Callithrix jacchus: one gene and its partner. The protein of the gene in region 1 interacts with the protein of each later gene in a pairwise test. Links are inferred from orthologs where the notes say so. Each region holds a gene or a part of one and is shown in the gene's direction. Other genes may lie near its edges. The genes, in order: DRG1 and ZC3H15.

Region 1 (4,452 bases):
ACTAAATTAAACTTCCCTCCCAGGGCTGGGTGCAGGCCAACCCCTTGGATTAAGCCTGGCGGGTGGACTCCCCCTGGAATAATCAATCTATCAAAACAACCCATTGATCTTGAGGCAAACCGCTTTTAAAACCACCACACAGTTCCTGGACGTCCTGGCTTCCTCTCCATGTGACACTTGGGGAAGAGGAGTCTTTTTAAATTTTATTATTACACATGTAATACATGGATACATTCATCTTGTAAAAATTTAACTACAAAATTCTGTGGAATAAAATGTGAAAGGCTTCTTTCCTTGCATCCCGTCCCAGTGTTAAGAGTTTCTGAGGCCGGGCGCGGTGGCTCAAACCTGTAATCCCAGCACTTTGGGAGGCCGAGGCGGGTGGATCACGAGGTCAAGAAATCGAGACCATCCTGGTCAACATGGTGAAACCCCGTCTCTACTAAAAATACAAAAAATTAGCTGGGCACGGTGGCGCATACCTGTAATCCCAGCTACTCGGGAGGCTGAGGCAGGAGAATTGCTTGAACCCAGGAGGCGGAGGTTGCTGTGAGCCGAGATCGTGCCATTACACTCCAGCCTGGGTAACAAAAGCGAAACTCCGTCTCAAAAAAAAAAAAATTCTGATGTATTTTTCTGTCTAGGCCTTTAAGCAATGCACGTTCATACATGCACGCCTATATAAATGTACATCTAATTTTTAGAATAACATAAATGGTTATCACTACATAGATGCCGTTCCGCTAGTTGTGTCTTTTCCCATTTAACATGTCCTGGAGATCAAGTAAAAACACAGGTCTACGTTTTAATGGATGTAATATTTCAAAAACAGGATAGAGATATTATTCATTTATCTATTTTCCTACTTATGGGTGTTAATATAGTTTCCAATTTTTTGGCATTACAAGCTATGTTGCGAGCAGAGTTCTCTGGGAATTATCCATTTACGTATGCACTTACTGTGGGCTCCCCATGTGCTCTACTTGGGGATTGGAGTAAACAAAACAGACATAAAAATAGTTTTGAATGATAGGATGGGGGAATTTTCTTTTTCCAAGGGGGTGAGACAGGCTCAAGATGGGTCTCTATGCCCTCGCAAGACCAAAGAGGCCGTCGGGATGTCAACCCGGCTGTGAAAAGGGGAACCCAGGACCCGCAGATGCTGGCGAGGAACACGGGTGCAGAGCACATGAGTCGGCTTGGGGTCTCCAGCCCGAGGCGTTCAGTACCACGCAGGGCGAGAGGAGCGGATCACGCCGGGCGGGGCCGAGCTGCGCGCGACCCTCCGCGCGCTCGGAGACGCCCAGACCGGGGCAGCCTCTCTGGCCCCCGGCTCCCGCGGGCTCTATGACACCGCACTGGCTCGTGGGACGGGGCGGGGTCAGCTGACGGGGAGGAGGTGGCCCCACGCTATACGTATCGCGCTGACCCTTACGTGACTCTCTCGCGAGAATTCGAAGTACCGCGCCTGCGCACTGCAGTAGCGCCTAGTGCCGGTGGCAGTTTGCCCGCGGGTGTGTGAAGAGAGACAGTCAGTGTGGAGGCCACAGGGTACTCGCCAGGATGAGCAGCACCTTAGCTAAGATCGCGGAGATAGAAGCTGAGGTAATGGACGCAGCTGGCGCTTCACTCAGTCGGAGCATCCCTTCTCGGTGGCGTCGCTCTTGTTCTCGGTTGAACCGCGTCAGGACCCGGCCTAGATTCCGCGACTTCTCTTAGCGAGGCCGGTGTTCCGACTGCTGTCAGCCACGACTCGGAGTCTCAGACTCTCCTCAGCCGGGAGGAGAGTCTCCTCCTCCTTTCCCCTTGTCCCGCGGCCACGCTCCTGAACTCCCCTTTGCCGGGGCCCGCGTTCCGCACCCCCGCATCTTAGGCCCTGGGTCGGTACCCCCTCCCAGTGTTCAGTTCCTGTTCTGAAATTGTTTCTTTCCGTTCTTCTTTTTTCCTCTGAGCAACACTGAATACTGTCCCTTATTCCATCTCTGGCTTGGTAAGATACTTAAGGATCTTTCCTCATCATCCCTCGCTAGGTCCTCCTTATTTCCCCTTTTCCCAGTCGCTACCCCAATGACCCCTGATGAGAGTATTTGTTCCGGTAATCGGAAATGGAAGTAAAATGACATCTGTCTGGGAGCAGTTTATTCCACCTGGATAGTGTGTGATTCCGTTGCCTGCGGCCCTCAGAGTGCTTTACAATTAGGAAAGTGGTGTCCCTGTGTAGTCAGATGGGGCCTAACGGCTACAAACAGTAGAAAAGGAACCCACAGATGGGTTTTAGTCTAGTCTGGGGGCACTAACTGGAATGACCTGAATCTTGTCTCTTCTCTTTGCCCCTCACTTTGCTCTGTATTGAGGGAAATGAACTGGATTGGGGAGGGAATGGACTTTTACTCTTTTGAAGCCTCTAAAATGGTTATGCTGACATTAGTAGGACTTGGGTAAAAAAAAATATTCTCTCAGAGCTGGGGGAAGCATTCATTCCGGATATTTTTACCCTGTTAGGAACTGCTTCTGATTTATGGCTGTGATTCTTCCCTTATAGATGGCTCGGACTCAAAAGAACAAGGCCACAGCACACCACCTAGGGCTGCTTAAGGCTCGTCTTGCTAAGCTTCGTCGAGAACTCATTACTCCAAAGGGTGGTGGTGGTGGAGGTCCAGGAGAAGGTTTGTGTTTTTCTTCTATATATATATTTTTAGGCATAATTTCTGTCAAAATAGTACATACATGTGGTTTAAAAATAACTAAAGATGGCCCAGTGCAGTGGCTCAACTTCTGCAATCCTGGCACTTTGGGAGACTGAGATGGATCACTTGAGGTCAGGAATTCAAGACCAGCCTGATCAATATAGAAAGACCCCCATCTCAAAAAAAAAAAGTTTGTTTTTTTTGTGTGTGTGTGTACCAGAGTTTTGCTCTTGTTGTCCAGGCTGGTGTGCAATGGTGTGATCTCGGCTCACCGCAACCTCCACCTCCTGGGTTCAAATGATTCTGCCTCGGCCTCTTGAGTAGCTGGGATTACAGGCATGCACTACCACACCCAGCTAATTTTTTTATATTTTTAGTAGAGATGGGGTATTTCGTTGTTGGTCAGGCTGGTCTCAAACTCCTGACCTCAGGTGATCCACTTGCCTTAGCCTCCCAGAGTTCTGGGATTACAGGTGTGAACCACCATGTCTGGCCAAAAAAAGTTTTTTTAAACGAGAAAAATAACTAAAGATGTTGTACTGAATGAGATTTATATTTTCTAAGTATGAATTCTTGAACTATGTTTGTTTGTTTGTTTACTTATTTGAGATGGAGTTTTGTTCTTACTGCCCAGGCTGGAGTGCAATGGCGCAGTCTCTGCTCACCACAACCTCCACCTCCCATGTTCAAGCGATTCTCCTGCCTCAGCCTCCCGAGTAGCTGGGATTACAGGCATGTGCCACCATGCCTGGCTAATTTTGTATTTTTTAATAGAGATGGAGTTTCTTCATATTGGTAAGGCTGGTCTTGAACTCCCGACCTCAGGTGATCTGCTTCCTCAGCCTCTCAAAGTGCTGCGATTACAGGCCAGAGCCACCACGTCCAGCTGAACTATGTTTATTTTTATTCTGCTGGTTTCAGAGGCAAATGGATATTGTTTAAGTGTACTGTAGTTTTATTTATATTCTGCACTGATACAAAATAGATTTACATGTGCTGGGTGCAGTGGTTCATCCTTGTAATCTCAGCATTTTGGGAGGCTGAGGTGGGAGGATTGCTTGAGGCCAGGAGTTTGAAACCAGCAAGACCCTGTCTCTACAGGCTTATGAATGAAGGGTCCCCCTGGGTATGAAAGATGTGCAAAAAAAAAAAAAAAATTGGGCCGGGCGCGGTGGCTCAAGCCTGTGATCCCAGCACTTTGGGAGGCCAAGGCGGGTGGATCTCGAGGTCAACAGATTGAGAACATCCTGGTCAACATGGTGAAACCCCGTCTCTACTAAAAATACAAAAAATTAGCTGGGCATGGTGGCGCGTGCCTGTAATCCCAGCGACTCAGGAGGCTGAGGCAGGAGAATTGCCTGAACCCAGGAGGCGGAGGTTGTGGTGAGCTGAGATTGCGCCGTTGTACTCCAGCCTGGGTAACAAGAGTGAAACCCCGTCTCAAAAAAAAAAAATTAGCCTAATGTGGTGGTGCATGCCTGTGGTCTCAGCTACTTGGGAGTCTGAGTTGGGAGGATTGCTTGAACCTAGGAGGTAGAGGCTGCAGTGAGTTGTGATGGGGCCACTGCACTTCAGCCTGGGTGATAAAGCGAGATCTCATCTTGAGAAAACCAAAGTAGATTTACATTGGCTTACAGAAATATGTAAATCTGTACCGTCAACAAGGTTAAAAATAAGTAAGGACTTTGATGCAAAGGGAAAATGAAGATAGGAAAAATAAGTTGAAGCCAAGAGAGGTAAGATTAGGACTAAAAGGGATGGCAAA
Region 2 (3,145 bases), on another chromosome or scaffold:
AAAAGTAATAATAAAGAGTGAAGGCTGAAGACCTGAGCAGCTGTGTAGATATTAAAATCATTAACAGAAACTAGAAGGAGACAAAAATGAACTTGGAGCTATTGCCAGTGAGTTTACTTTGGGACCTCATGAGTTTGAGATTTTTTCATTATCCAAAGTGGCACTGTCTAGGATATTGTATAGACATGAATGCCCTGCACAAAGTATCAGTGTTTCAAGGTAGGTAAAAGAAGGAATGCTTAGGAAAGACACTGAGAAGGTCAGAGAAAATTTAAGAAACAAGTTTCCAAAGAAGTAAGTAGGGTGAAAACGAATATAAATAAGTTACTAATTGTAATTGGTTATAGGAATAGGATGCCAGTTTCATTGAGACTGCAATAACTGAGAAGAAAAATGAATACAGTCCTCTCAGTGTTTAGAGGAAAGACATGGTCATGGGAAGGGCTTTTTAGGATATGGAAAACCTAAGTGTATCTCTGTAGGTCAGAGGAAGAAGATCTGGTAAGTATGTATCTGTAGGTGAGAGAAAGTGCATCTGGTAAGGAGGAAAAGTTGAAGATAAAGGAAATTAGTTATGGAAGCAAGACGTAAAAAGTATAAATAATGAGTTAGGTGTGAGAATGGAGGGAAGGCTGACTAGGATTGTTGGTATAATTTATGTCTAATTGTGCCTTGAGTTAGGTGCTTGAAGAAAGGGGTGAAAGTTTGGCATCCTTGCTATGGAAGAAAAAGGCAGAAGAAATGCCAGTTAAGGCAAAAGCTGAGACAAAAGGCTGAACCTTATTTTTACATAAAAGCACACAAGCTATAACTTGAAAAACCAGCTTGCCCTCCCAGGATCTGAGAGTGTTATCAAAGCATTGTCTTGCTAGTATTTAGATTGACTTGTTTTTTATAGAAGTGGGTTTTGTTGACAATAGGCACAACTGCAAATACTTTAGAGATTATAAAATTCCCAAGACTTTGTCATCAGAGATGTTTGAAATAGCTGAAATCTAAATTAGGCTGTTTAAAAATGTCTGTGCAAATGTTAATGGCACGGAACAAAAAAGGCAGCATTTTTGTTTTCTCAGTCGTTTTAATCTATAAGGAAAAGTAGCTGTATACCACTAGGTTTTTTTTTTTTTGTTAACCATTTGATTACATGATGATTTTCTGCTGTCACAATCACAGCATTACAACATCATGATTTAAATACTATTTACAAAACCAAAAGCCAAGTAGCTGCTTATATTACAAACATTTTTTGGTTTCCATAACCACTTATTCAGAAATACTGTATGGAAATTGACTAATTAAAATCTAATTGCTCAGTCATGTAGGGAACACAGAGTTGTAGAAGAAACAATTAAGCAGTCAGATGTCTACAGTGAAAATCAGTATTTTGTAGTGAGTATAGATAATTGGTACAAATAAGCTCAGAAAAGAAGGATCGGTTCTTGCTGGAATAATTCTAGGGAAGGCTTTCATGGAGAAAAGGAAAAGAGGAAGTGTAATATCAGTCCGTGTTGTCTATTGCTAATGTAGGATGGTGTTTTCTCCTTCTACACCTTACTGATTCTAATTTTAACTTTTAGAAAACAAATTAAATGAAGCTTCTGGAGGTAGGGCTGAAAATGGTGAAAGAAGTGACTTGGAAGAGGACAACGAAAGAGAGGGACCGGAAAATGGAGCTATTGATGCTGTTCCTGTTGATGAAAATCTTTTCACTGGAGAGGATTTGGATGAACTAGAAGAAGAACTAAATACACTTGATTTAGAAGAATGACACCAAACAAGTCAATGCAAAAATCAAGTCAGCTCAGCATGAGTTGAAATTGACTTCATTAATTTTTTCCACCTAGAATCAACAGGATGTTTATTTCCCATGCTGATTCTGGAGGACTTACCCTCCTACAAAAAAGGAGTATTGTTCCTACGTCTTCTCTTCTGACTTTGGCTTCATCTCATAGTAAGTTCAGACTAGTTCATGATAAATTGAAAATATAATGGTCATTGCAGAAAATGATTGATTGTTGTAACTGTCCACCCAAGTAAGAAGTGTATCTGCTTTTCCATCTTTTGGTTTTCATTTGGGCATGTGCTATTACCAGAAACAAAAACTCACATTTAAAATACCCTTCATTTGACAGAGTTCTTAATGAGTGATTTAATTTCCTTTGTATTTGTATGTTTAGAAGACTGCCTAAAACGTCAGCACTGTATTTCATAAAGGAAACTGCATATGCAGATTCAGTATTGTATATCTTTGGACAATTAAATGGACATTTAAAATGGAACTTCTTTTATCTGACAGGGTCAGCTACAATGCCCTGTGTTAAATTGTTTAAAAGTTTTCCCCTTTTTTTTGCCAATAAAGTTGTAAATAAAGACTATCATACATTAAAATCCAAATATGGGCTTTCTTTTAAGTTTTTCTATGAAAAATTTAACATTCCTAGCTTGAATATTTTAACTAAATATCTGTTATAGTATCACATAAGGGATGTTTTCTTAATACTTATTACAGAACCATCTAGAGTACTAACAGTACTACTATGAATTTAATAACACAATACTAAGCTTCCAAAAGAGACTCTAGGTGATGTTAAAAAAAGGGTAACTTCTGAATTGATGAATCATCAAACAAATTAAATATCACCTACAGTTGAATCAAGTACTGGTTAAGAACGTTGTTGAGATCCATGGTGTTAAAATAGTACATACTAATATAAGTGTAAACAAATTCACCAAAAAACTATGGGCTGAGGGTTTTTGGCACTAAGATCCCCTGAAAAATTAGGGTGATAATACATTTAAAATAGACACAATTTGGTTGGGAGGAACTCAAGATGGCACTGTGAGAACAACCCAGGATTGAAGCTCTCGGTTAATCCGCAGAGAGGTGAGTCAAAGCTGCATTTTCAGACTGATCCTTGTTGCCCACAGAACGGGGAAATTCCCAAGTATAAAGGAGACGCGGGACACCAGGCAGAGGCTCTGCCTGGAGAAGCCGGCAGCCGGGGTGGCGGCGGCTGGCCCTACCCAGCGATCCCCACAGGGCGTGCTTGTCCGGGTGTTCTATTGAAACGGCAACCTGAGACTTGAGAGGGCTGAACTTGAGACTGAAAGGGACTTGGGCAGTGGGCCAGCCCAGGGGATTGCA

What was found.
Region 2: the proteins of DRG1 (region 1) and ZC3H15 interact in binary tests that used the Homo sapiens proteins (3 or more experiments, as listed by UniProt). The two-hybrid records come from large-scale screens. The link is inferred for Callithrix jacchus from reciprocal best matches to the Homo sapiens genes DRG1 and ZC3H15.

What each region holds. Positions count from the first base shown.
Region 1 is NC_133502.1:201,887,930-201,892,381, forward strand, and holds the start of DRG1 (developmentally-regulated GTP-binding protein 1), read left to right. Parts: upstream 1-1,498; 5' UTR 1,499-1,563; coding exon 1,564-1,605; intron 1,606-2,542; coding exon 2,543-2,666; intron 2,667-4,452. UniProt on the Homo sapiens protein: Catalyzes the conversion of GTP to GDP through hydrolysis of the gamma-phosphate bond in GTP. Appears to have an intrinsic GTPase activity that is stimulated by ZC3H15/DFRP1 binding likely by increasing the affinity for the potassium ions.
Region 2 is NC_133507.1:42,485,156-42,488,300, reverse strand, and holds the end of ZC3H15 (zinc finger CCCH domain-containing protein 15), read left to right. Parts: intron 1-1,577; coding exon 1,578-1,768; 3' UTR 1,769-2,394; downstream 2,395-3,145. UniProt on the Homo sapiens protein: Protects DRG1 from proteolytic degradation. Stimulates DRG1 GTPase activity likely by increasing the affinity for the potassium ions.